2 linked regions of the Drosophila melanogaster genome follow. The protein of the gene in region 1 interacts with the protein of each later gene in a pairwise test. Each region holds a gene or a part of one and is shown on either strand. Other genes may lie near its edges. The genes, in order: CG12171 and DNaseII.

What was found.
Region 2: the proteins of CG12171 (region 1) and DNaseII interact in a two-hybrid assay, tested with the Drosophila melanogaster proteins (one large-scale study listed by BioGRID).

Annotation. Positions count from the first base shown.
Region 1 is NT_033777.3:5,631,502-5,635,297, forward strand, and holds CG12171 (uncharacterized protein), read left to right. Parts: upstream 1-2,125; 5' UTR 2,126-2,190; coding exon 2,191-2,964; 3' UTR 2,965-3,139; downstream 3,140-3,796. Other genes in the region: CG31551 (uncharacterized protein), read left to right, coding at 1-532; CG31549 (uncharacterized protein), read left to right, coding at 895-1,668; CG31546 (uncharacterized protein), read right to left, coding at 3,267-3,796.
Region 2 is NT_033777.3:18,017,170-18,021,743, forward strand, and holds DNaseII (deoxyribonuclease II), read left to right. Parts: upstream 1-2,205; 5' UTR 2,206-2,243; coding exon 2,244-2,347; intron 2,348-2,906; coding exon 2,907-3,903; 3' UTR 3,904-3,992; downstream 3,993-4,574. Other genes in the region: CG7785 (uncharacterized protein), read left to right, coding at 4,545-4,574.

The sequences.
Region 1 (3,796 bases):
GAATAACGAAGCTATCGAGAGTTCCGAGGAAGAGAATGAATCTCTGGAAAATGTAGAGCTCGAGCAGATCTATCTGCAAGAGACCGATAGCACTATGCTATTTCCCAGGCCAATCTTTAAGACTCTGATGTTAACTGTGGTTACATCCAACGAGTCCATTTCTCCTGACCTCGCGTACAAAATTACCAATTTGGAAGATGAGCTGAAGGCTCACCTCAAGAAGATTTCTAGACGCGCTTTTGCACAACGAGGTGCAGGAGCTCTGAGGCGGAGAGCCAAGTACTTGATGGACCAGCAGCGTCAACTACAAAGTCGCCAACTGTCCGAGGTATGTCGCAATTCCGAGGAGCAGACTTTAAGGCTGTGGGATCGACTGACCAGCAGCAGTGACTCCTTGCGAGGGATCAGGGATCTCTTTCGCGATCATTGCGACCTGCGAGACCCATTGTTGTGCGCCGCACTCCAAAGCATCGAGCGTCTCTACAGGGAGTGGAAGGATCAGCGGTTTAGCGTGAATTGGAAACAAAATTGATTTAATTTTCCTTTTTTTTTAATGGCTTCATTTTTCGTTCCTTTTGAAATTCGATCTTACCAGCTATTTTAATTACATTAAGGGCTAGCCTAATTAAATTGTGTACATACATAGTTATTTGCGTGGGGTAGAGTGGAAAAGGTTTGGTTGATTGAACACAGCACTCCAAAATTCAAAAACTATTTTCCACCGACACATTTTGAAAATTCCAACCGCTAGAGAGAGAGCTTTTCGATAAGCTTTTCCGCCACAGCTGATGTGGAAAAGCTATCACTTGCCAGCTGGAACTGCGCTTCTTCTTAGATGTCTGTCTATCGTTTCCAGTGATCGAACTTCGCTTAGCGTAAAAGAAACACCCCACGATGTCATCCTTCAAGGACAAAGTGATTATTGTTACCGGCGCCAGCTCCGGCATCGGAGCAAGTGCCGCCGTCCATTTGGCGAAACTCGGAGGGCTCCTGGTCATCGTGGGTCGCAACGAGGAGAAGCTGAAGGAGACGGCCGACAACATTGTGGCGGCCGGAGGAGCAACGCCATTGGAACTGCAGGCGGACATGACCAAGGAGGCGGAGGTGCAGCAGATTGTGGGCGCCACTCTGGCCAAGCACGGTCGCATCGATGTGCTCGTTAACAATGCGGGCATCCTGGAGACAGGCTCCATCGAAGCCACCAGCCTGGAGCAATTCGATCGTCTGATGAACACCAATGTGCGTTCCCTGTACCAACTAACCATGCTGGCCACTCCAGAGCTAGTCAAGACCAAGGGCAATATCGTAAACGTATCCAGTGTCTGTGGACTGCGTGCCTTTCCTGGTGTCCTGGCCTACAATGTGTCTAAGGCAGCGGTGGACCAGTTCACGGCCTGCATAGCCCTGGAACTGGCCCCCAAAGGAGTCCGCGTAAACGCCGTGAATCCCGGCGTGATTGTGACTGACATTCACAAGCGTGGCGGCATGGACGAGGAGACCTATGCCAAGTTCCTCGAACACTGCAAGATAACCCACGCCTTGGGCCGTCCTGGCGATGTCAAGGAGGTGGCTGCCGCCATTGCCTTCCTGGCCAGCGATCAGGCCAGCTTCACCACGGGAATCAGTCTGCCCGTCGATGGAGGTCGTCACGCCATGTGCCCGCGATAGGATGCGGATGAGCAAATGGTGGCATTTATCGAATTTAGCGTCATTTTCAGTAGTTAATTTAAAGAACACGACTAAAATACAACACAATACATTAAAAGTGCGCAGTTAAGATTTCTTGGATTTTTCCTCTCATAATAAACTAATATATTGATAAAATATCTATAATCTATTATTATCTTCTTCTGGGATCCCAAATAGCTGATTATATTGTCAAAAACTCTCACAACCTCTCTGTCTAAAGAGGTGACCACTTAAAATTAAAAACTGATCATACATACATTCAACTATTTATTAATATACATACATACATACATATGTATATGCATAGTAGTTGGATAAAATAACAAATTAACAGTTAATTAAATTTAATTGAATTTCACAACCACTGGAAATGTGTAGCTTGGAAGGTTCCAGCCTATCGATAGCGTAATCGGATTGCAGCCCGGGAATTGTTGACTTCTGGGTCGGGTCTTCAATGTCACCAATCACTATCAGTTAAACCGTCGAGTGGATCACTTCAACATGCCCAGTTTCAAGGATAAAGTTATAATCGTGACCGGAGCCAGTTCGGGAATTGGAGCGGGTACTTCGGTGCTCTTGGCTAAACTGGGAGGCCTGCTCACCATCGTGGGCAGGAATTTGGATAAGCTCAACGAGACCGCGGAGCAGATAGTGGCAGCTGGAGGAGCGCCAGCACTCCAGGTGGCGGCGGACATAAACAGCGAGTCCGACGTCCAGGGCATCGTCTCCGCCACATTGGCCAAGCACGGTCGCATCGACGTGCTGGTGAACAACGCCGGAATCTTGGAGCTAGGCAGCATCGAGAACACCAGTCTGGAGCAGTTTGACCGCGTTATGAACACCAACGTCCGGTCGCTCTACCAGCTGACCCACCTGGTCACACCGGAGCTAATCAAGACCAAGGGCAACATTGTAAACGTGTCTAGTGTGAACGGCATCCGTTCCTTTCCCGGAGTCTTAGCATACAATGTTTCCAAGGCTGCCGTGGATCAGTTCACCAGGTGCGTGGCTCTGGAGCTAGCTCCCAAGGGTGTGCGTGTGAACTCCGTGAATCCCGGCGTAATCATCACCGAGCTGCAGCGTCGTGGTGGACTGGACCAGGAAGCCTACGTCAAGTTCCTCGAGCACGCCAAGGTCACCCATGCCCTGGGTCGACCCGGCGAAGTCAAGGAGGTGGCTGCGGCCATTGCATTCCTGGCCAGCGACGAGGCCAGCTTCAGCACCGGTATCAGCCTGCCCGTGGACGGCGGTCGCCATGCCATGTGCCCCAGATAAGAACGGAGTTTTTTATCCATGCATGCATTTATCTTATTTTTTTATTTTTAATTAAAGTAGCGCGCTTACCTCGTGTATTTCAAATACTTTTCAAGGATGTGATTCTATGTAAATGTAATAGTTTGCTAGAAATAAATAAAATGAAAACCGCCCTATAAAAATTGGCAACGTACGCAAGATTTAATTTGATACTTAAAATTTTCAAGTTCGTAGTAATGGACTTAATCGGCGGAAAACAAGGGAAAATTAAAGACATTCGTCTGGACAGGATCAGATGATCATATAGAATATCCTAGCAGAGACTAGCGCGGACACATGACCTGCTTGCCACCGTCCACAGGAAGGGTCACGCCGGTCACGAAGCTGGCCAGCTCGCTGGCCAGGAAGCAAATGGCGGCCGCCACCTCCTTTGGCTCCCCAATCCGGCCCAGGGCGTGGGTCTTCTTCGAGTGCTCCAGAAATTCGGCGTAGCTCTGCTCGTCCATGCCCCCCGCCTTTTGCAGATTGGTGCGAATCACACCCGGATTGACCGCATTCACCCGAACACCCTGGGGACCCAGATCCAGGGCAAGGGAGCGGGTAAACTGGTCCACCGCCGCCTTGGACATGTTGTAGGCCACCAGATTGGGAAAAGCGCGAAGTCCGCAGACGCTGGACACGTTGACAATGCTGCCCTTACACTGCAGCAACTGGGGCAGCAGCAACTTGGTCAGATAAAACCCAGAACGCACATTGGCCTCCATCACGTGGGTGAAGCAGGCCAGTTCCGTGCTCTGCAGCGTTCCCGTGGGCATGATGCCAGCCCCATTTACCAGCACATCCAGCTTGCCCT
Region 2 (4,574 bases), about 12 Mb from region 1:
TCTAAGTAATTTATATGTATATGTATGGTATACCTCTATGATAAACCCTTATATAAATATACTTATATCATTTGTGTAGCCTTAACTTAGAACTTTTCAATTGACGGTATTAATTACGCATAATAAAACTTTATATTTTGTTCGTTAAACAAACCCATTATTGTTTCACTCAGTTCCAAATCTCACACAACCAAGCGATAAACCTTTGAAGAAACGAATTTTGAATTAGTGACAATTTTTGCAAGAAAATTAAAACCAACTATACAATTACATATATTAATACCACATATATGCATCGCTCTCCCCATTTCAAGTTTTGAGTCATTTGCGGGAGAGTCAACTAGAATGGCATTGTACTCAACCTGGTAGGTCTGAGAAAATCGCTGTATATTTGTAATACTTAAATACTATGCATATCTATATCTTATACAGACAGACATATGTATAGTATCTTTAGAGGGTTAAGTAGGAAAGGTAACTGATATTGAATATTGAAAATATCAAGGCAGAGAAAGGTATCGAAATACCGGCAGATAAATGAAGATAACACAAGTCAAAACATATCAAACTCGTGCCCGATTAAAACTATATATACACATATATATACACTATATATATATATATATATATATATATATATTAATGAAAAGCAGGCGCAAATTAGGCGCAGCAAATTTCAAAAATAACAAAGAAGGAGAATGATAAAATTATTAAATATGCCGAAAGTCTAACGGGAAATGCAATTTTATTTGCATAACTCAACAGTTGAGTCTACTTTTATCCGTAAATAATACGAAAATAATGATTAATATTAATTGAGATATTAAAAGTAAAAAAAAAAAAATACAAGAAATGGCAAGTATTTGTCTATTTTGAGGCTCATTTATTTAACATTTTCGCGAAACCAAGTACGACCTTCTTTTTTCAAATCGAATAAAGATCTTTGCTAATATTGTAAAAAACAAATTGATTTTTCAAGCAAATGAAAACCAAAACGTATAGCTAAATATTATTATAAAACTTACATAAAACAGAAACAAAACTCGTATATATATATATATAAATATAAATATCAGCCTTGTTCTTTATATATATATTTGAAAAACCAAAAAAATGAAAAACCATACAAAATATTAATAAATTATTAACAACTATGAAAAAATTGATACAAAAAAAAAAAATACATAAAAAATATTTAGCGAAAATATTGTATTGTGAGTTTAAATGTATTGTTGCATACGAAACCAAAGAAATGACATAACAAATCGGTACACCTAAGTTAAATATAAATCTAAATGGCAATACCAACCGATTGGCAAAACAAAAAGAAAAAAAAACATAATATCATCTGATAATATCATATCAGATCGGATCAAAGCAGATCAGAGGAAATTCGAAACAGAATGAAAGGTGAACCATTTTTTCACAGACAGCCACCAGCGATAAGAACTAACGAAGTTGAATTCAATTAATTTACCAGACAGTTTATTTCCAATATAATTCAATATTAGCAGATGGGCTCGCCCGCCCGCAAGACAAATTATACAATTTGATAACGATAATATTTTCATGCGATCACGATCGAGGAGGAAAGCACAAACGATATGCCCTGCAATGCAAACGGGGAAAAGAGCAACAAATTGCAGTTTTCAGCAGGCGACAAATTATAATAATACAATACGAATAATAAATAAAAACTTTAACAATTGTTTTGTGTAATTGTAAAGAAGTGGAGTTCTTTTCACCGCCAGTGGGATGAATGGGATGTTTATGTGATGATGGTGAAATGGGTAAGTATTTATAATATGTTACAGATTGGACAAGATTCTTAGTAGTTTCTTATAATATCCATAAAAATGAAGTCAAACATATTTAGTAGAGTATAATATATTCGTTGTAGCCGCATTTAGTGCGCTTGGCTTATCAGCGACCTCTCTGTTCGACTGATCTTTTGCAATAAGTGGCTGACCCCTCAGATAGCAGACAACGTGGCGATAGGCTGTGTTAAAAACCCAAACACGACCAAATATTTACAAATCCAACTTTTAGATAAAACAGACAAACAGCAAGGATCTCAGTTTTCACTCGATTCAAGCGTTTTTACCTGGTGAAGAAATCGAAAAAGATTAAGATGGATTTCAATTTGCGACTGAGACACCCTGTATGAGCACAGCCGTTGATTGGATTGGATTCACTGACACTTATTTAGTTGTTTTCCGGCCGAGCAACTTGAAGGTTGTACAATGCGATCTCTGTGCTTCGTTTTGCTGTTCGTTTGGTTTTTCTACCAAAACGAAGCTAAGTCTAAGGTTTCCTGTAAGGATGAAGCTGGAAACGATGTAGATTGGTAAGTATTTCGATTAACAGATCAAACAATAAATAGTTTAGTTCTTAAAACATTACTAAATGTGCTTATTAGAAAAGTTACTTATAAATATTGGCCTTTCACATACTTTTTCATTTATCTGCAGTCGCTGTTTGCATATCATTAACAATTTGCAAACACAACGTATTTTAGTTATTTATATACACTGCTGTATTGAGATTATTCTAAAAGAGGCGATAAACAAATTGAATATGATGAGTTCAAGTTCAAGCGGAAAAATTGATAATAATTGTACAATACTGTGTGACAAGAAATTAAAAAGTAATTAGTGTGTTATTTTGTTTCCTAAAATGAGAGATTTAAATCAAAGTTGTTTGCTACAAACAAACTTAATCAATTTGATAACAATAACATCATTTTTAATACTTTTCCATTTCCAAAAATAGATTAAATGGTAATTATTTTTTTTTTTTAATATCTTAAAAACAAATTTCCAAAGATTGAGGGGTTTTCTCGATGAGATAAACATGTTTTTAATTTATTTAATAATTTTTTTTCAAATATTCCTTTATAATTTTAGGTGGCACCTTTACAAACTGCCCAAGCACTACCAGCACAACGATTTGGGCAAGGACACCAGTGGCTTGAAGTACCTGTACGTGACCAGCCAGAACTATGACACCTGGCAGATGTCGGGAAAGTTCATTAGTGATCCCCTATCGCTGCCTGCCCAGACCCTTAACCCCTTGAACGACGATCCCAGCCACACTCTGCTGGCCGCCTACAACGATCAACAGCCGAATGGCACGGTTTTCAGCAGCGGTGGTCATGCCAAAGGAGTGGTGGCCAGTGATGGGGAGACGGCTATTTGGATTGTCCACTCGGTGCCCAAATTTCCAACAATTCCGGACTACAGCTATCCCACATCCGGCGAGCAGTACGCACAGAGCATGCTCTGCGTCACACTGAAGGGCGAGGATTTGGAGAAGGTTGGTCAGATTCTGGTGTACAATGAACCGCACTTCTACTATCAACGCAACCCGCTGGCCACTCGCTCCGATGAGCTGTTCCCGAGCCTGGAAAGGGCTCTGCATGGTCAGTGGCGGACGGAATCACCGTTCCAGAAGGACTTGGAGGTGCGCAGCTTGGACGGCAAGAAGTTCCGGCTGTTTGGCAAGAGTGGACGCGCCAATGTGGAGCTGTACGCCGATGTGGTCGCACCCACTCTGGATGTCAGTCTTTTTGTGGAGGCGTGGCGCGACGGTGCCGGCAACTTACCGAATAGCTGCGATAAGTCCGATAAGGTTCTCAATGTGGAATCCATTTCCAATCCGGAGCTATCGGTGGACTTTAAGACCACACAAGATCACTCCAAGTGGGCGGTATCTCGTCCCACAGGCATTTTGATCTACCATTGGCGAGTTGGCGGCGGAGATTGGATTTGTGTGGGCGACATCAACCGGCAAGAAGGTCAGTTGCATCGTGGTGGTGGAACCGTGTGCCACAAGAGCGCCAGGGTATCCAATCTGTACCGCCAACTGGTCACCAACTACGACAAGTGCGCCCAACAGGAATAGAATCTGAACTAACTAAGACTATTTGTAAAGTTGCGTCAACAATTAAATAAACACCATTTTTGCATTACATTTAATGCATAAGAAAATTGAAAGATGTTGAAAAGAGGTATTATTTATACAAAGAACTTATTTGCATTTGTTATAGATAATATATAATAATTTAAATTTTAAATTTAAGGCGCCGTGCAACTTCTTTTCTTTTTCTTTCTGCTCTTTTCCGGACACTCGCTAGCGCCATTTCTTCAACGCACTCTTGTCGTACATTTTAGGTACTAAAAAGCGCATTGAAAACTAGGTGGCGCTCGTACTTAAACTTTTCTTAATTCTATAGCTGTTGCTAAACTATTTGCCAAAAAAAAAAAACATTGAAATATCAACAAACATGTATAAATTATTTACAAATGTGTCAATTGCATTTGGTTGCATCTAATTATTCATTTATAGCGCCACCTATCCGTCACTCTTCTACCCATTATTATCACATATACCAGAAAATGCAAATTCAGTATGACCATCAGCTGGAAAAAGAGCACAGCTGTTTACAAAAACAAAACCAAGCGAAGAAGCGAAAATTATTGGCGATTTTTAAAAATCCAAATTAAAACTAGATTCGGAGTCGGAAAACCTTCATAGATTTGGGAATGTTCTGCTGCCTACGCACCTGTCTCAAT